Linked DNA regions of Rattus norvegicus. The protein of the gene in region 3 interacts with the protein of the main gene of each other region in a pairwise test. Links are inferred from orthologs where the notes say so. Each region holds a gene or a part of one and is shown on either strand. Other genes may lie near its edges.

Region 1 (4,100 bases), on a different chromosome or scaffold from region 3:
AAATAGTGGTACATGCCTACAGTCCCAGGACTCAGGAGGCTGACGCAGAAGTAACTGTTTGGGGCCAGGCTAGGTTACAGAGAGAATTCAAGGACAGCCTAAGGCTAAACAGCAAGCTACCAACTCAGAGAGAAATCATCTGGGAGTGGTGGTCCAAACCCATTTTGTCCACATCTGGGAGGCTAAGACAGGAAGGAGAATTATGCCAGTTCAAGGCCAGCCTGGGCTACAGGAGTTTGAAGTTAGACTAGGCTACACAGTGAGACCCTGTCTAGAAACAAAGTAGCAGTGGAAGTGGTGGTGGTGGTGGGGTATGATAGCACCCAACAGTTAAGGACACTGGATGTTCTACCCGGGAATGTGGCTTCCATTCCCAGTATCATGTGGCAATTCACAGCTCTCTGTAACTCCAGTTCCGGGAGATCCACACCCTCTTCTGGTCTCTGTGGTGCACAGACATACATGCAGGCACCCAGACACATAATTTTGGTCTTTTTTAATCTCAAAAAAGTAATTAACTAAAAGAAAAAGAAGAGAGAAAGCAGCGTGGTAGCGCACACTTTTGATCCCAGCACTTGGTAGGTGAACAAAGGAGCATCAGAAAGTCAAAGAACTTGAGGTCAGCCTGGGCTACGTGAAACATAGAGATAGAGACAGAGAAACTGAGAATGAATTAGTAGGAAGGTTGAGGATATAATTTTATGAGTACCCAGTGTGCGTGTGCCCCAGGATCCAATCTCCAATATCACATGTTGATAAGTAACTTAGGTAGTTCTTTCAGATATGTATTTAACTGGCTTTCTGTTCTAACCTTCTGCTTTCCCCCTACAAATAGAATTATATCTATATGCCCATTGCCCCTACTCCCTGAGCCCAGAACTTTTACCTACCTGTGGGGTTTCATCTCTGGGGAACCTTTTCTTCCTCTAGCCTAATCCTCACTTGCCCTGATGCCATCAGTTCCTCAGAGAAGGTCCACCAGATGTCTTAGTCTTTGTGAACACACCACACACACACACACACACGCACGCACACACACCCCGTAAGTTAGATTAGATATAACTGCCTTGGCCAAGATGGATATGTCCGCCTGCCTGAGACAGATACCTTCATCCTGGCCTTGACTCGAGACTCTACACTGTCATACTTGGGTGAGCGCCACAGTGCCTTCAGGGGCTTGGGCTGGGCCTGCTCCCGGCTGCGTTCCTGGTCTTGGAATCGCCTCTGAATCTCTTTGATCCGCCTCAAGTTTTCCTTCTCATGGTCTTTTGGATCCTTCCCTGGAGGAGGGGAGGAATGTTGCTAGGAACAGCCCTACGAATGGCTGTGCAACTCAGACTAGATCTCATACAGATTCACACCCTACCCCTGGGAGATGTCCAGTATATGAGAAGCCCTGGGTTCAATCTCCAATATCACACACAAAGTTCTTAAATACAACCAAGACCTCTACATGGAAGTTGAATGCCATACACACAGCAACATTAGCAGCTTATTCCCTTACACAGAAATTGTGATTACCTTCTACATTTTATGATATCACCGAGTATATTATACATATGTCCTGTCTTGTTTATTGACTCCCTTACTTCTTTCCCCAAAATTTATTTATTTATTTATTTATTTATTATTTTTTTTTTTTGGTTCTTTTTTTTTTCGGAGCTGGGGACCGAACCCAGGGCCTTGTGCTTCCTAGGTAAGCGCTCTACCACTGAGCTAAATCCCCAGCCCCTTATTTTTTAATTCACATTATATCCCAATTGTAACCCCCACCCCAGTCCTGCCCCTGTCATATCCGGCTCCCTATTACCCCCTTCCCTTCTCTTCAGTGAAGGGGAAGCCCCCCTTGGGTGTTACCCTACCCTGGGACAACTCCCATACTTTTTAACCTTGTTTTCCTAACAACCATAGGGCTTGGCACAAAGTAGGCATTAAGGGAACTGTTCTATCAAGGTGTGAAAGCTTGAAGCTGGAGCTCTCTGCAGAAGGATGAACTCTGATCCTGCAAGAAGTATTTTGCCCTTCTTTTAGGCTAGAGAAATTAAGACCCAGAAAAACACATTAACTGAATGGGTTCAAGGCGGTTAAGAAGCACCCTATTTTAATCTCTGCTTTTGACCTATGAATGCCTCAATACCCCGTCTGCAAGGACTTACTCTTAGGAGAGACCCCTGAACCAAGGGAGATGCCCCCCAGTTGCAGCAGCACGTCCCCCACACCTCGCTGGCCACGCTCTAGGATCTCTCGGGCTCCAGGCCTGATGCGAGGGCCACGAGGAGGGCTGGAGTCCAGGTCGCGACCTGAAGTCAGCAGGTCCAGCTTCAACGCGTTTCCTTCCAGGCGTCCTTGGGCTGAAGAGCAAGACGCGGTGGAAAGCCGTGCTCAGAGGTGGGGCGGGGTACTCGCCCCGCCGCGGCACCCCGCAACTCACCCGAGGCCGGCCGCCGGTAGTAGTCCGGGCAGAGAGTAGGGTCTGGGGGGATGGGTCCAGAGATGCGGGACGGGCCCTCGCACATGATCCTACCGTAGCCCTGCAACTGTGCATCAGGACCTGTTGCGCTGTGCAAATGTCCCCTCTAATCCCTGTCGGGTGTTTCCACCCTCCACCCGAGCTCTGTAGCCCCGTGGTACCCCCCATCACTGACCCCCACCCCTCGACTACCGCTCGTTTCCTAAGCTCAGCCCGTACCACCGCCCCGCGACTAGCACACGGCCCTGAGGGGTTCGCGGCCCCTCCCCCTGCAAAGCCCCAGCGTGGACTCTCACTGCAGCAGTTTTACCGCCAACTGTAGCAAGTCGGTAGGAGTTGCTGTTGCTTGGCAACAAATGGCTTCCTGAGGTCAGGGGTCAAATGACTAAGGCGAAATGCCTTCTGGGGTTTGTAGTTCCAGATGAGGAGCGAGTCTAAGTCTCGGGTCGCAACAGGATCCTTACCTCTCAACCTGTCTCCCCTACCAACACTGAGCACCGGTCCAGCCCTGCTCTGGGCCTGCGGTCTTCTCTGAGCAACCGTCGAGGGATGCATTGATTCCTGCCATGGCCTCAGCAGGGGCCAAGAGGCAGCCAGAAGCCCAGAATGGGGCAGCAGTAGGGTTAGCCCAGGTTGCAGAGATCCCTGAGGTGACTTGGGCATTTCAAAGCTCAGGAGGAGGAGGGGTAGGGCAGAAGAGCAGGACTCTAGGTGACCCAACCTTCTAACTGCCAGGCCAAGTCCTGCAGGTAGAGGGACCTAAGATTTCCTATTCTGTGGCCAATATGTAGTTAGGAGAGGCCCCCAAACCAAGAGAGATGCCCCAGTTGCAGCAGCTTTGGGCTTTGCCTGACCATGGGCTATCAGTTACCTATGTATGTCTTCTAGTGTCCAGGAACAGAAGAGTGTCTGGTGCCAGCACACGAGACCTGCAGCACTCCAGGTGAAGACAGGTGTCCAGTAGGACACAGCTTAGAGCCAGAGCTCCAGGAGGAAGGAATAAACCTGGGAGAGGAAGGGCTCAATCCAGGGGTGGAAGCAGGAGAGGAGAGAGGACCCAAGCCTACATCATCCATCGTGAGGCCAGCTCATGGGCCCAAGAGAAAGTGAGAGGGCTTTCAAGGGGAAAGGCTGGGGAGGTGGGTCTTAGACCTGGAGATTCCTAAATCCCAATTCCTTCAAGGCAAAGAACCTTGTTTTCTTCTAATGCCCTCACCTCCAGCTCCTGTTTCTCTAGAACAGTTGGGGCGGGGGTGTGGATTTGGGGCTTCTTAGTCTTGTAGGAGACTTAGCTACCATTGAACGCTGGGCCCCTGTTGGGTTTGGAACTTCACTAAGAAATGGACAGTTAACTAGCTCTAGTGTGGCTTGGTGGACAGGCAGGGGTAAGCCCTAGGTTCAAGACACAGGAACCAAAGACTGAAGCCTACCTCTTTCAGGCCTCTTGTCCCAGGCTTGAGTACCCCAGCCCTCCCAGGGCAAAGCTACCATGCCCATCCTAGGGCAGAGGCCGAACTGCCACCAGGGCTGCTGCTACAGAAGGAGGAGCCAGAAGGCAGCCACAGTGAATCCTCGCTGTCATCTAAACAGCACAAAAAAGCCAAGAAACGCAAGAGTGTAGGGGCTCCTG
Region 2 (4,228 bases), about 53 Mb from region 3:
CTTCCAGAGGTCCTGAGTTCAACCAGCAACCACATGGTGGCTCACAACCACCTGTAATGAACCGATGCCCTCTTCTGGTATGTTTGAGGACAGTGAAGCTGTATTCATATGCATAAAATAAATAAAATCTTAAAAAAAAAAAAAGGAAATATGGGGTTGGGGATTTAGCTCAGTGGTAGAGCGCTTGCCTAGGAAGCGCAAGGCCCTGGGTCCTGGGTTCTGTCCCCAGCTCCGAAAAAAAAAAAAAAAAAGGAAATAGAAATACTTAGTTACACACCCAAGCCCACTAAGGTATTTACAATATTACAAATTTTAATATTCTGGGGGCTAGAGAGATAGCTTAACTGTCTCAGAGGTTCCTGAGGTCCCAGGTTCAATTCCAGTATCCACATGGAAGCTCATAATCTTCTGTTACCCCAATACCAGGGGAGTCTAAGGTCTGAAGAAACCAGACACACACTAGTGCAGACATACATACATGAAGATAAAACACCCACACAAATAAACAATTAAAAAGTATAATATTCTGGGAGATGACTTCCTATATCTTATCTAGGTATTTTTTAATAAAATAGTCTATTAAAAACGAAAAGCGATGCTTAATTTTTCATAATCATACATACCATAACAGTCTGGCATCAGCAGTTAGACCCGCAATTGAGATACCAATATGGTTGTCAACGTGGAGAATTTTCTTCTGGTGAGCGGCAAGCTCTGACTGTGCTCTCTAAATAGACACAGCATTTTAGTTTGGAGGTTGATTATTTATCAGTGAAATTTACATTTGATAGCTCTGGCTCCTGAGGGAGGAAGATAGGGTCATCATGTCACTCACCTTCAGCGCGACCAGCACTGCATGTGTCTTCGACTTCAGGCCGACTGTCGCTGAGCCTTGCTTTACAGCTTCCATTGCATATTCGATTTGATGAATCCTGCCCTAAAGACAAAATAATATTTTTCACTTTTTGAAACCAATAAACTAATTTTAATTCTAACTTTAAGCTTGTAGCCCATAAGCTCACAAGCTTTGTTTCCTTTTTTAAAATAGGGTTCCACTAAGTTGCTCAAACTGCCCACCAACTCCATGATCCTATGGCTCTGGCCTCCTGACCAATTAAAAGATTACAATGTGAACCTCCAAGCCCAGTTTATGATCTCACAGGTTTCTGACCCTACTCCAGCCATGAAAAGTCACTTCATTAATAGGTCATAAAACATTTTACCTGAGGGCTCCAAACAGTGACATCGTTGTCATACTGGTTGCGAAACTGAAAGTGGAAGAAAGATTAATATGAGAACATTACAATTTTCAAATTTTAACAATAAGACATGTGTTTCAATTGTTGAAGCCTCTCTGCTAGTGCAGCTTTCCTGAGACACTATTAGAGTGCTCAGTTTGCAATGCAATTCTACCTTAATCATGTACAGGCTGTCGGGATGAATGGACTAGGGTCTTCCTACCTTCATATTCTGCCATTCTCCATAGCACTTCCCTCGGGCAGTCAAGTGCTAAAGAATGCACACTTTGCTCATACTACTCTCTTACACAGGGCTCTAATAATTTGGCAAAGGGCTTTTCTTTAAGTCGACTTAAATGTCTATCTCTTGAAGGTTTCTTCTTTTTTCCGAAAATTCTCAGCACAATTTTCCAGCAGAGCTAAAGTCTCATGCAGCCCAGTTTGGCCTTCATTTGCTATATACCTGGGAGAATGATCCTGAAGTCCTGCTTCAGCCTCCCAAGTGCTCAGATCACAGGTGTCTGCCATCATGCTCAACTATATATATTTTTCCCCCTTCTCTCTCTTTCCGACTCGGATTCTACACTCTGGCTGTCCTGGAACTCACTGTGAGTTAGGCTAGCCTCAAACTCACGAATTCTACCTGTCTCTGCCTCCTGAGTGCTGGGATTAAACTCAAGCACCACAACACCCGGTCTTTTACATACCTTTTTATCTTTATAGTATGATTAAAGTTACGTTTGGCTTAGCTTTGAGCTTTCTTCCTGTACTTTACCACTGGATGAACAAACACACGAATTCTCAGTAAAAAGGTGGCCACAAATAGCTACCGTGGCAGAACCACTATAGCTATAATGTCATTACTAAAGCAAGTTTGTCGGCCCTTGGGAGTATAATATTCATGAGGGTAAAAAGACCAAGAGTTTGCATGGCAGACTCGACAGAAGCAGCCCAGGGCCCTACGTTGTAAACCTGATTCTATCACTTTCTCTTTCATCTCTAGGTAACAAAACAAAATGATTGTATGGAGCCTTTCCCTACGGCACTCTAATGAGACGGATAAAGCCAAATACACCCACAAGGAAGATGAACTTGGTCTGAAGACCTGACTGCAGGCTCTGGTCTGCACTGACGATGCCAGATGCACCCTTTCACCCCTATAGTCTCTCTCCTATGCAGATCACGAAGGACCATACAGCATCTTGGAATAGGCCACTTAAGTAAATTGGGAGGGAAGGACGACTGGCTGGCCGAGAAAGAAGCGCCTGGACCCCATGCAAAGTGGAGAAGCTGCGCGATAGGCCGCCTAGGTTACTGATCGCTTCCCGCCGGCCAGGCCGCAGATGCTGAATCACTGCAGGAGCATGTCCGTGAGGTAAGCTCCCTCTCCCACCGCCCCGCGCCTCAGGGAACAGAGGCCGATCCCCGACCAGGTCAGCTGACCTCAGCCCCAAACCCTCCGAGGACTCGGGGCTCAACACACCATAGCTCCGGCGAGGTTACAACCAGACACAGCAGCGGACACAGGAACACGGCCTCAACTACGGTTCGGTGATCGTCAAAGAAGGCTGCGGAGTCTTCACGGCGCCGACGCAGGAAGTGCAGTCTATCCCAGAGCCACGGATCAGCGTTTAACGCTTCCCCGCCCTCCAGCTCTGGGTGGGCGGGGCCTGCGAAAGCAGATAAAATGGGATTGGTGGGAAACCCGGGAATGCCTGTGCGCAGAGAGGGTTGGGGGCGTGGTTCCATGTCAAGCGCTGTGTTTCCGTGTTTCCCCCCTCCCCCCCCAGTGGATTGCAGATTCCCGCCAACTCTCGGTCCACTCCACTGAACATCGCCCCCAGCTAGGGATGGTGTGGCGGACCCGCATAGATTTCATCACAGTGCCCAGAGGTTTGGGAAGCAGCACGACTGAAAGAGGTTGCAGAAAAAGCCACAGAACCATTCATTCTCTCTCTCTCTCTCTCTCTCTCTCTCTCTCTCTCTCTCTCTCTCTCTCTCTCTCTCCCTCTCCCCCTGTCCCTCTTCCCACTCCCCAAACCCTCTCGTGTGTGTGTGTGTGTGTGTGTGTGTGTGTGTGTGTGTGTGTGTGTGTGTTCGTTCGTTTGTGGTCCTGGCCCCTGAATATCTTGAGTACTTGGCGAGCCCATCCTTAAAGGCTCCTTGGTGTCTCGTGGTCGTATTACTCATTTTGTGATCATTAGTTGCCATTGTAGGACCAGGTTTCTGTTCTGATATTTGATTTTCGCTGTCCACAACCAAATGCCATATATGATAGATTAGGCCACTAGGGGGAAGGTGCGAGTTTTCTTACGGATTTTTAAAGAGCATCTTTTGATTTATCCCCAAACGAAATCAAGACAGTTCTGTGCTCACTGATCTACCTAACATCTACAGACTGCCAGTTCTGTTGAAGAATAGAGTCAGGTCTTTAAGGATCTGAACTTCAAAGGAGGAGTAACACATCACTTAAATGTCTCTGTTCACAGTAATTAGTATCACATTCTAAATATCTTTATGTATGTGTATATATGTACATTTTTTGTTTTTACATATGTTTTTTGTGTGTTTGTGTCCCTGCATACACTTATGTGAAAGTCTGAAGACAATGTTGGTGATTATCTCCTTGCACTGTGTGGATTCTGGGATTGAACTTTAAATTGATAGATAGGGCTGTTTTGTTTGCCCAGCACCAGCACAGTGCCTAACACATATTAGGTAAATAATTTGTATTGCTGAATGAACAATGGATTTTGAATGAATGGGTAATTAAATGCTGATTTTAAAATAGTTGGGGAACCGACTGCAGAGTGCCATTTACAACCATCTGTAACTCTAGGGGATCTGGCTTCTTCTGGTTTCAGCGACACTTGTGCATACATGTTGTGCTTCTACATAGGTAAAACACTCATATACATAAAATAGTTTTTTTAAAGCACCCAAATTAGCACATCTACTTTTAGGATTTCTTTTTAAAAATGTTATAAAAA
Region 3 (4,147 bases):
ATTTCCATTCTTATACCCTGTCTGACGTCAATACTTATTACTATTTTTTTCATAGTCACATAACTTTTATTTTGAAAACCTTTCCTTAAAAGTTCTTTGCTTATAAAATATACAATAACCAGATATTTAAGATATTAAAAACAAAGAAATGTATGTTTGAGTTCAGGAATTGTCACTGTGAAGACAAATGAGATGGTGACTTCGTGTGAGGCACTGTTTCATTATAGAGAAGCTGTTAATGTTATCATAGAAATTTTCAAAGTCATGTTTTGTAAATCCATTAAAAAGAGTCAGATACACACATAGCAGTCATTTTTATTAGATGCTAATCACTGACATCAGTGCAAGGGCAGGTAATTATCCACACAATTCACATACAGCCCATACACTTGGACTTTAACATTAGGCTTTCAGCTCTACATTTATTTCATTACTTCAAACATATATTACGATGTATATTTGTTTCCAGTTTTTTCAAATACATCTTTGTATACATATACGCATATATATCATTCTTAAATATATATTTCCAAATATAAATAATTTCACATCAAGCCAAACAGGATAAAAACATGTAAACATATGCACCTCATTTTGGTCAAGTAAAACAGAACCACAAAATAACCACAAGTTAACAAGTGCACTTGAAAGAGAAGAAACAAACATGTAAACAAACACAGACAGCAGCTGCAAGGTCCTGTAAGGGTCCATTTTTTTTTTAAGGCTATATAGCAAAAAGCTCATAATTCAGTTAAAGACTTTTGTCACCTTGTCACATTTACTCTTAAGGGACTTCACAATGAGAAACTGTAAACACTAGACTAGAAGTGATTGAATCCTGTTGGAAAAAGACATCACAAGTCATCAGCTGACAGAAATATTAATTCCACCAAACAATACTTATAAGATTTCTTGTTATTTTGTAACACGGAGAAACATCACAATCCTAGCGAGAAGAAATGGGAAATAGAGGAGAAAACAGCAATACTGCATAAAGATTGCCTCAACAGCCTTTGAAAGCGATAGGGTTTTTGAGTCAGTCGATAAAGGGGAATAAGCAACAGCAGACAACAGAGCCTTAGCAGACCAGACCACATGCCACAGCGTGATACTACAGATTCAAATTGAAATATTCTTCCAGCTGGTACTGAAGCAAGAGCCACCGGTCATCAGAGATGGAAAAACTGCCTCGCAGGCAAAGCAACTTCTTAAGCAACTGATTGGCCAGGCGAAGCACGGAATGCTCCTTTTTACGGCTTTTAAACAGCACGCTTCCCTCTCGCAACTGCACAGGCTCCAAAACTTGATGCCAGTATGCGCTGGACGATCCACCACCATCTGGCCTCGGAGGCTGATCTCTCCAGCCCTCGGGGTATTCATGCTTGTAAAAACAGAATTCTCCAAATGGGCAGTGACCTAGGCCTCCAGCAAAATACCTGCAGGCTTTCTGGCTCATCCCCTCCTTATATTGCTGAACAAGTTTCTCCTTCTCCTCTTCCTCCTCCACCCAGAACTCACTAGGAATGACAAAGCCAGAGGAGACCCTGCACTGTGGGCAGGACTTACTGATCCTGTTCTCAAACTGTGTGGCACTTCTCCACCTGCGGATACACTTAAGACAGTAGGTGTGGTTGCAGCTGAAAAGGATGCCAAAGCGGCGGTCGCTGGGGTCGGCCTTCTCATAGACAACCTCCATGCAGATGCCACACACTTTGTCCATGCTGCGCTGCACAGCAAAAGAGAGTTCCATATCTCTCTCGTGTGCTTCAACGCAGGCCCTTCTATGAGCTTCCTGCTGAGCTGCATCCCAAGGGTGCAGGGCCTGTTGCCCGCACATGTCGCATATTTCTCCATGGGGGTATGCACACCTGTCCCCACGGAGGCATTGTCCCCGAGCAGCATAGCGGCAAAGCGGCAGCGGCATTCCCATGCCCATAGCCATATGCTCTCTCTCAATCTCCGGGCTCTGCAGAGGAGCCTCGGGACCATGCGGGGGGATCATGCGACCTCGATACGGCTGTCCAGGAACAAACTCAATTGCCCCCTCCCAGCCTTCTGCACCCGCTCCTCCCGCAGCACCTGCTGCAAGGCCTGCATTGTCAATCTCAGCTTCAGGGAAGCCCCTTTCAGCAGCTGAGCCAATGCCTGCATTGTCAATCTCAGCTTCCGAGAAGCCCCTTTCAGCAGCCGAGCCAATCAGAGGCAAGGAGCTTGAGGATGCAGTAGGGGGGGCTTCCGCCACTTCCTGAGTCGGGGGCTCCCAGTGAGTGGCCATCTTGGGTCCTCTGTCTGCAGAGGCCCGAGGCTGAGAATCTTGGCCCCCCCTAGCTTTCCGCCGCCCAGAAAGGTCGTGAGAGTAGCGACAGTTATCGCCCTCCTTGCACTGCCCATGCAGATAATACCTGCAGAGGATTTGCTTCGTCCAGCTGCCTGTGTTGCGCTCCGGACCAGACCTGGCCCCGCCCCCTTCGGCTGGAGCGGGTCTCAAACTCGCCGCGCGCCGGTTCGCAGGGACTGGAGCCATAAGAAACGGTGCCAGGCCCGATGCCTCTTGCAGAGGGGCTGAGCTGGCTACCGCAGAAGCTCCAGAAGCCTCAAACTGAGGAGGGGGGGGGGCAGACACACCCTCCCCCCCCTCAGCACCTGCCTCGGCGCCGGCGGCCTCGTAGGCTTCCATGGGAGCTGTAGACTCTTCCATCACGCAGCGTGCCTCTAACACTGTCCAAAAACCCGAATATTATGTCTTTTTTGTGCTTGAATTGCGGAGCTGAAGATGGTCCGATCAGCTTCTTCTCGGAGAGAAGTGCATCAATTTTTGTCTTCCCACCTGCTCCCTGTTCCCTGAGAACTTTGGTTCCTACCTGCTTACAGGCAGCCGGACACTTCCGGTTGTAACACCATTTTCCGGTGCTTCACCGGAAGTTGCTTCCGCCATGTTTTTCCCGTACCGGTAACCGCTTAAGATATTGGAATCGGCTTCTGCCGGCTCTCTTAGAGCGATTCTGAACTCCCCAACCCCCGTTTCCACACTGTTTTCCTTGAAGGTTGATGTTTTAATCTCTCCAGGTTTCGGTTGTATACATTGCATTTTATTTTCGTTTTCAGTTAAGAAAACGCTACAATCCTTGCCTTTGCCATCGGCTGCTATTGACATTTATAGAACATTTCACTCATAAACATTAAAAAATATTTTTCGGTTCAATCTGTCTTTTGTTTATAGGTGACTACTTTTTAAATCGAAAAGGGGCCCCCCCGCCGAAGCATTTCTCCTTTGACGCTTATAGATCTGACACAATTTCTTTGGGTCTTTTTTCCTTGAAGGGTTAATTTGCGTGCACTTTAATTAGAAGGGAATCCTCTGCCCTGAGGCTAGTCAGACAGAGCCTTTCACTTTCCTGCCTTTGTTATATATCCCCACCCACCCCACAACAAAGTAGAAGCCTAGACTTTGTCTAGCCCTGATGAAGACTTAATAAGCCAAGGTCTGAGAGTGACCCAGGCTTTTAACTTTTTTCTGTTGGTTGGATTCGGAGACCCTTTGTTCCCTGCCTTCCTTTTCATCCCATTCTGCTCTCCCGAGCTTTTCATAATACAAGCTCTTCTTTGTGCACCAAAGTGTCTCATTTCCATTTCCACATTGAGCCGCAGTTTTGTTTTGTTTTGTTTTTTCGTTTTGCAGATATATACTATTGGACTAATAATTTCATATATAGTTCTACAATGCTACATCTACTTACTATAGTGTCATACTAAATTTTATAGTGTAGTTATTTGTGGGTTTTTATTTTTAGTAATAACCATGTTGTCTTATAATATTTAATATACTACTTTTTTCCAAAACTAAAATTATGCTTGCTAAAATAATTTTATTACAGGCAGTCTTACAAACTAAGGTTAAAAAAACTCTGAATGCTTTTGATATAATCATCCAACTCAAAATATTAAAATATTATTCTCCACTAAATAAAGCCAACAACAATAAAACAAGCTAAGAGGAACATTATCAAAGAATATAGATAAAAGAGGTGAAATGAAGCAAAAGTAAATATGAAATAAGGAAATAGAATAAGCGAAATTTTTCTTGTATAACTTATCAAGAAACATAATAAAAGGCTCAGAACTCCAGCATCACATACGTCAAAAGAAC
Region 4 (3,512 bases), on a different chromosome or scaffold from region 3:
TGAAAAGTAGTGTGCTTGCTTTCCCACAGCCTTTGTGTGACGGTCCAGCACCTCAACTAGAGGTTGCTACTGGATTCTTCAATGTGTGTTAGCGTGCTATTCACCCTTATTTTACTTTTTTTTTTTTTTTTTTAAGATTTATCCATTTATTATATACGAGTACACTGTAGCTGTCTTCAGACACCAGAAGAGGGCATCAGACCTCTTTACAGATGGTTGTGAGCCACCATGTGGTTGCTGGGAATTGAACTCATGACCTCTGGAAGAGCAGTTGGGTGCTCTTAACCTCTGAGCCATCTCTCCAGCCCTATTTTACTTTTTTGAGGTAGGGTTTCTTTGTGTAGCCCTGGCTGTCTGGAGCTAGCTCTGGAGACCAGGCTGGCTTTGAATTCACAGAGATCCACTTTCCTCTGCCTCCCAAATGTCTCATGCCATCACTGCCCTGTTAGCATTGTAAATATTTCAGTATTAGTGAAGCAAATTTTAAATAAATAATTGTTTCATAAAGACCAAGGTTTTTGTTGTAAATATATTCAGGACCATGACTAAAATTATAAGATTCATTTTTATTTCTCATGATGTTTGTGCTTTGTTGTGGGTATATGAGGTCCATGTGGGAGCCTACAGAGGCCAGAGAGCATCAGGTCCCCTGGAGCTGCAGTTTCAGGTTATTTGCTAGCTGCCAGCATGGTGCTGGGACCTTTGCAAGAACTATACACACAGATTAATTCTGAGCCATCTCTCCAACCTCAAGTATAATGTTTTAAATAAAGATTTGTTCTAGTTTGGAATATTATGGATTGAACAGAATTCTTGGAAGGCAATTTATCATTATTTATCATTATCATTATTTAGCATAAAACTGGTTAAGGGCATGCACTGCTTGTTCTTCAGTGGTCCAAGATGAATTCCTGGTACCCATGGTGGGTGGCTTACAACTGTGTAACTCCATCAGGAGAAGATCAGCCTCTGTCCTCTATGCACCTGTTACTCATAGTCACATACACAGACATAATTAAAAGTATAGAAAGTCCATGTTCAGTATTAGTAACTTAGATTTATGTCACTTCACTGTGAAATATGGGTAAGGGATTGAGAGGGCTCACTTAGTGGTTCTCATAGAGGACCAGGCTTTGGGTCTCAGCATCCATAGAGTGACTCAGAAACATGTCTACCTAGTTCTCACCTCCGTGAGCACCAAATATGGGTCCATACATACCTGCAGACAAAATCTAAGAAAAAAATGAAGACTGACATCAGTAGATAAAGCTTACAGGGTAGGTAAATAAAACAAGCAGAGAAAAAGCAAGGTCAGGTCAGGATGAGGTGACTTGAATTCTTAGAAATTGGCTTGTAAAAATAAAAATTTGGCAGTTATACAAACTACAATTTTTAGTTCTAGTATATTTTGTTTCAGTTCAGAAAACAGATGCCATTTATGTCATTCAAAGTCTTTTTAACTGGAATATTTTTCAAATTTGAAATTTAGGGCAGCAGCAATGACTCTGCGCACAGTATTATTGTCATTGCAAGCACTGCTGGCCGCTGCAGAACCAGATGACCCCCAAGATGCAGTAGTAGCAAATCAGGTAAGAGCAGCTGAAAGGCTCTTAGAGCTCTGTGTGCAGCGCTGACGTTTGATGTCAGCATGTGAGAATTCTCTGTTGGGACTAAATTTGGAAGTAGATTCTTTTAATGGAATAATTTTGTCACGTATAATAAAATCATGTCATATAATAAACAAATAACAATAAACAAAGAATAAACAAATACCGGTTAGGAACCCCACTTTTCACTGATGTCCAGATCTCTGCATTGCAGAAGTTTTTCATGATTCAAGCTCTTCGTGAACACTTGACTCTACGTGCTGTTCTTGGCGTTCATGAGTCTTTGCGATTGTTCTTATGTCATTGTGTTGCTTTCCTCGCTTCCTCTTTAAGGAAACATCAGCCAGCCTTTGACATTGTAAAAATGTCCCTTTAAAATGTTTTTTAGTTTGGCTGGAGAAATAGCTCAGCACTTAAGAGCACCGACTGCTCTTCCAAAGGACCCAGGTTCAAGTCACAGCACCCACGTGGCAGCTCATAACAGCCTGTATCGCTAGTTTCAGGGGACACGGCACCTTCACATAGACATATATGCAGGCAAAACATGAATGCACATGAAATAAGAATAATTTTTTAAAAACGTGCTTTGTTAATGTGTGCTCACAGCACGTGGCTACAGGTCAAAGGACAACTGTTCCGTCCTGTACTCGTGTCCTTGGCTGCTGAGCTGTTGTTTCAGCTCAAATTTCTTTGTCCTCATGGCTGTTTAAGGGGGTGAAAAAAAAGACTTATTTTTAAAATTCTGTTCCTGTGTCTCCGGGTATGTTTAAGTGCTGGGAGTACCTGTAGATGTATCAGGAAGGTTCTGGATACCCTTGAGTTGAAACTAGACCACAAATGTTGGTGTTGGGAATTGATTTCTGGTCTTCTGAATAACAGCAAGTGTTCTGAGCCGTCTGTCCAGGCCTTCCTTATGGCTTTAAGTATCTATCTGCTTATTCTTTTTGATCATGCTCCCTCAGTTCCACTGCTAGACTAAACTGCTTGCAACTACCGCCTCTATTCCTTAATATTTGGTAGCAATCTTTCCTGAAGTTTAGCTCTGATTTTCCTGCATATTGAGATTAAATTGAGATATAAAATAAAAGATCACTTTTGAAAAAATTATTTATGTTATGCGCATTGCCTGAATGTATGTGTCTGGGGGTATTGGATCCTAGAGGCACAGGCAGATGTGGACTTCCATGTGGTGCTGGGAATTGAACCCTGGTCCTCTCGAGTCCAGCCAGTTCCTTCAACCACTGAGCCATCTCTTGTCTTCCATAGCTGACTTTTAATACCTAAAATAATGCTTGTGTTGTTTGTTAAAAAGTATTGCTTGAAATACATTAGGTACATTGTCTTACTTTAAGATAGATTAGCCTTTTGGTTTGCTAAGAGCTGGCTATGAGTCAGAAGCCCTCAATCTTAGCACTCTATAGTTAGAAGTTGGCAGATCTCTAAATTTGAGGCAAGTCTGGACTAAGTAGAGATAGCATGTTCTATGCTAGACAGTGCTACAAATTGTGAACTGTTGTATAGAGAGAAAGCAATGTCAGGGGAGAGGTACAGTGGATTTACTCAGCCTCTGCTCGTGCTAGAGAGCTGGATGGCTCAGGTCTCAGCCCCCACAGCGGGTAGCTATTACTGTCCTCTTCTTGGCCTTCCTGGCATTTCAACATGTGTTCATCTACACAAACAATGTAAAACAAATTTAAAAATGGTACTTTGATAAGAAATATTAAAATGAATTTACCTTACCTTTTTCAGTTTCATGTGTGAAATCTTTTCTCGAAGGGCTCTTTTGTGAGTTTTTAAATTGTCTTCAAAAGTAATGTAAGTTAGACCTTTGAGTGTTCTGTTTACTTTGAATTCTGTACAGTACAGCTCTATGCATCTAGCTGTCTGTCAGAACTTGAGTTCTGC
Region 5 (3,512 bases), on a different chromosome or scaffold from region 3:
GGTGCGGATCGGCTGGCTCATTGTGATTAGCTCTTACCAGCTGTCTCCTTTGTCCCTGCTGGGCTTAGGTCCTGCCCTCCAGGATCGGACTTAGAGACCCTCGGAGGGGGCGGAGTCTGCCAACTCCACAGTCAGAGCCTCAGTTTATGACAGTGCGTCTGGTTTCGGGAGCGCTGCCCATTTTTCAGGTGCTGCGAACCCGTTTGATCTTTCCAGCGGTGACCCGAAGGCACAGGGAGGTCTATTTTTAACTGGGTTTAATAGGTAGAGGAACAGTCTTTTAAGAGCTGCCTCTTGTGCGAGGTGCAAGGCTGGTGGGAGAACGGGGACCCTGGTGTCTACCAGACCAGGCTTGGGAACACAATCTGCCTCCCCCCCATTTCTTTGTAGTGTTAGGTGGTGGGTATAAAAGCAAGGTGCTGGTGGGGGGAGCTTCTGCCCTAGCCCTGCCCCTCTGACCTCCTTCCTCTTTCCCAGGTGATGTCGGGGAGGGAACTGCCTCAGCCACCACCAACGGGTTGGACTGGTTTGGGTGGCAGAGCAGATGTGGGGGCTAGGGAGGTGAGGCAGGATCTGGCTACCTGAACAGGACTCTTAACAGTTCTGCTGGCTAGACCTAAACCACTTAAGGTCAGTTGAGGGTCTGTTTGTGTGGGCCAGCCTTCTTTTTCTGCCCAACAACCTCTTAAGCCTTGGGAGAAGCCTTCCTCCTATCCCCCAAAACTTCCGTGGGGGCTGGGGAGAGCAGATAGATCTGTAGACATACTATGCTTGCCCTGTACTACTTGTCGTTTTAAAATGGTGATGGAATTTGCTCACAGTTAAAAACCTAGAGAAAGCTAGTCTTGGTTTGCTGGTGCTAGTGACACTCCACCCCTCACCCTGGACCTATCCGCCTGTGGTGGGCGGGGCCACTCTAGTTGACTGGTGTGCTGGTCCTCAGCTGACTCCCGTGAGCATTTTAGTTCAGGACACACTTGTGGAATATCTAGCATGTGTTGAGAGCCACATCATGAAGCTGAGACTCAGTGAACAAAGCAGCCAAAACCTGTGCCCTCGTGGAGCTGACATTTTTGGAGTTGGGGACAGCAAAGAAAGAAAGATTCATATCCACAGTAAGTTATATGGTACCAATGGATATAGTGAGACGAGATATAGGGTGTGTGTGTGTGTGTCTGTCTGTCTGTCTGTCTGTGTGGTACGTGGAGAAGTGATGTGGTAGGAATTAGTGTGTTCAAGCTAGGCTTCATGGGAGTCTGCTTTTTAAATCTCTGTGACCTAAGGAAGTCACTTCCCAGAGTCTCAGTTTTCCCAGCTACAAAATGGTAACAGTGGCTTTCAGGCTCTTGGAGGTGGTAGGAAAGTAGCTGTGAGCGTCTGGCACACAGGCACACAGTGGAGAGCGTTGTCTTGAGATGTCTGGCTGTTCCGGTGAGGCTCTTCTGTGTTTGGGCATGCTCTGGCCCAGTCTGTCTGGTATAGTACCACGTCCCATGTGACCATGGAGAACTTGAGGTATGGCTAGTGGCTGCTGAGTGATCTCAACTGCAGATGCCCTTGGTTTGGAATATGGGTTTTACCTTGTGCATATTTGAGGGGCCTTGGGTATGGGGAAACTGGCACTTTCTGACCCTCTTTCCTTGGAAACAGAGATGGCAGGGTTGACTTGCTGTAATGGTCTAACATCTGACTCTTAGATAACCATGGGGACACTTGAGCACCCAGACATGGGCCCTGCAGCCCATGAGCACTGTCATGGTGGTTGGTCAGCAGCATAACACTTGGTGGGGCTGTGACCTGGATAGGTCTTTGCACCGGCATAGCTTGGGGCTGATGTTTATGCCTGTCCACATGCCTGGATCTCCATGGGCTTGGCCTTGAAGCCATATCTTGGAAACTACCCTAATCTGGACTCTACGGGGTGGGGGTGGGGCCTTTCTGCCTCTCTCTCTCACAGCCTTTTGTTTTTGTGCCCCTTGTGGGCCTGGCATGTCCAGGCAGGTGGTTGGCACTGCGCAGCTTCCTGCCTGGGCTAGTTGCGGGATGTTGGTGGTATCTGGATCTCTGTGCAGTTCAGGTGGGATGTGGATGATGGTCATTCAACCCCAACTGCCCGGTCGCTAGTAGCCCCCTCTCTTGGAAGTAAGGGGTGGCTTAAGCAAACCCATTGCCCCTCGAGCTTCAGTTTCCCAACCCCTAAATGGAGCCATTGAGAGGACCCCCTTTTTTTTCTTTTCTTTTTTTCGGAGCTGGGGACCGAACCCAGGGCCTTGCACTTCCTAGGCAAGCGCTCTACCACTGAGCTAAATCCCCAACCGAGAGGACCCTTTTTAAAGTGGACCTGGCTTCTCTACCACTTTTCTCTCCCTCAGCTGTGCGGGTCCCGCCCACTATTGGAGGGAAATGCCGTGGGTGGGGCCATAGGCCTTCCCGGAGTACATTTTGCCTGGTGATTGGCTCTGTGAGAGGCAGGGGCGTGTCCTTTACCTTATAATAGCTCAGGCTTCGCCGCCAGTGAGCCTTTGTCTGAACGTGCTCAGCCTGTCTTCTTTCGTTGCTTGCAGCGGAGCCCCGTATCCAGCTGCCAACTTTGTGCCTGTATCTGTCTTCTCGCCTCTGCCCTCGGGGTATGTAACGGCCATGCCCGTGGACACGCTGAGCCCGGGAGCCCCCACCACTCCCGCTTTACCTTTTCGCCTGCGAACCAAGGTCCCCGGCTACCTGCTACCAAGGCCAGCAGATGGGGGAGCCAGGAAACCGAGTGCTGTGGAACGCCTGGAGGCTGATAAGGCTAAGTACGTCAAGAGCCTGCGCGTGGCCAACACCCGCCAAGAACCTGTGCAGCCCCCGCTCGCCAGGCAGCCCCTCTTCAGCCCAGGTTCTCGCGGCCCAGTGCTCACACCCAGTCGCCGAGTCCTGCCCTGTTCTGGTCGCCGGCCCCAACTGGACCTAGACATCCTTAGCAGCCTAATCAACCTGTGTGATAGTCCCGTGTCCCCATCTGAGGCCAACCGAACACCTGGACGGCCAGAAGGATCTGCCCACAAGGTCCCACCAGCCACCCCTCCTCGTCCGCCTCCTAGTACTGTCGCTGTGCGCCGAGTGGATGTTCGTCCCCTGCCTGCTTCACCAGCTCGCCCCTATCCATCACCTGGCGCCGCTACCACTTCCAGCCCGGGCCGGCCCCCTGGTCTGCAACGCTCCAAGTCGGACCTGAGTGAGCGCTTTTCCAGGGCAGCAGCCGATCTTGAGCGCTTTTTTAACTTCTGCGGCTTGGACCCAGAGGAAGCACGAGGATTGGGGGTGGCCCACCTGGCAAGGGCTAGCTCGGACATCGTGTCGCTAGCCGGGCCAAGTGCTGGACCTTGCAGCTCTGAAGGGGGCTGCTCACGCCGCAGCTCTGCTACAGTGGAAGAGCGGACCCTAGAGCGGGTCCCCTATGGGGTGTCTGTGATCGAGCGAAATGCCCGTGTGATCAAGTGGCTGTATGGGTTGCGGCAGGCACGCGACCC

What was found.
Region 1: the proteins of Mkrn3 (region 3) and Enkd1 interact in binary tests that used the Homo sapiens proteins (3 or more experiments, as listed by UniProt). The two-hybrid records come from large-scale screens. The link is inferred for Rattus norvegicus from reciprocal best matches to the Homo sapiens genes MKRN3 and ENKD1.
Region 2: the proteins of Mkrn3 (region 3) and Psma1 interact in binary tests that used the Homo sapiens proteins (3 or more experiments, as listed by UniProt). The two-hybrid records come from large-scale screens. The link is inferred for Rattus norvegicus from reciprocal best matches to the Homo sapiens genes MKRN3 and PSMA1.
Region 4: the proteins of Mkrn3 (region 3) and Ube2k interact in binary tests that used the Homo sapiens proteins (3 or more experiments, as listed by UniProt). The link is inferred for Rattus norvegicus from reciprocal best matches to the Homo sapiens genes MKRN3 and UBE2K.
Region 5: the proteins of Mkrn3 (region 3) and Fam110a interact in binary tests that used the Homo sapiens proteins (3 or more experiments, as listed by UniProt). The two-hybrid records come from large-scale screens. The link is inferred for Rattus norvegicus from reciprocal best matches to the Homo sapiens genes MKRN3 and FAM110A.

What each region holds. Positions count from the first base shown.
Region 1 is NC_086037.1:50,503,611-50,507,710, forward strand, and holds the start of Enkd1 (enkurin domain-containing protein 1), read right to left. Parts: upstream 2,807-4,100; 5' UTR 2,517-2,806; coding exon 2,432-2,516; intron 2,352-2,431; coding exon 2,157-2,351; intron 1,281-2,156; coding exon 1,108-1,280; intron 1-1,107. Other genes in the region: C19h16orf86 (uncharacterized protein C16orf86 homolog), read left to right, coding at 3,037-3,120, 3,359-3,576, 3,910-4,100. UniProt on the Homo sapiens protein: Microtubule-binding protein which regulates microtubule organization and stability. Promotes the stability of astral microtubules and facilitates the proper orientation of the mitotic spindle.
Region 2 is NC_086019.1:177,885,046-177,889,273, forward strand, and holds the start of Psma1 (proteasome subunit alpha type-1), read right to left. Parts: upstream 2,813-4,228; 5' UTR 2,725-2,812; coding exon 2,722-2,724; exon of another isoform or gene 2,242-2,721; intron 1,269-2,241; coding exon 1,224-1,268; intron 938-1,223; coding exon 836-937; intron 728-835; coding exon 624-727; intron 1-623. UniProt on the Homo sapiens protein: Component of the 20S core proteasome complex involved in the proteolytic degradation of most intracellular proteins. This complex plays numerous essential roles within the cell by associating with different regulatory particles.
Region 3 is NC_086019.1:125,338,369-125,342,515, forward strand, and holds Mkrn3 (probable E3 ubiquitin-protein ligase makorin-3), read right to left. Parts: upstream 2,811-4,147; 5' UTR 2,699-2,810; coding exon 1,112-2,698; 3' UTR 296-1,111; downstream 1-295. UniProt on the Homo sapiens protein: E3 ubiquitin ligase catalyzing the covalent attachment of ubiquitin moieties onto substrate proteins.
Region 4 is NC_086032.1:43,016,713-43,020,224, reverse strand, and holds part of Ube2k (ubiquitin-conjugating enzyme E2 K), read left to right. Parts: intron 1-1,489; coding exon 1,490-1,589; intron 1,590-3,512. UniProt on the Homo sapiens protein: Accepts ubiquitin from the E1 complex and catalyzes its covalent attachment to other proteins. In vitro, in the presence or in the absence of BRCA1-BARD1 E3 ubiquitin-protein ligase complex, catalyzes the synthesis of 'Lys-48'-linked polyubiquitin chains.
Region 5 is NC_086021.1:160,935,398-160,938,909, reverse strand, and holds part of Fam110a (protein FAM110A), read left to right. Parts: intron 1-54; exon of another isoform or gene 55-188; intron 189-943; exon of another isoform or gene 944-1,115; intron 1,116-1,202; exon of another isoform or gene 1,203-1,501; coding exon of another isoform or gene 1,502-1,515; intron 1,516-2,564; coding exon of another isoform or gene 2,565-2,640; coding exon 2,641-3,512.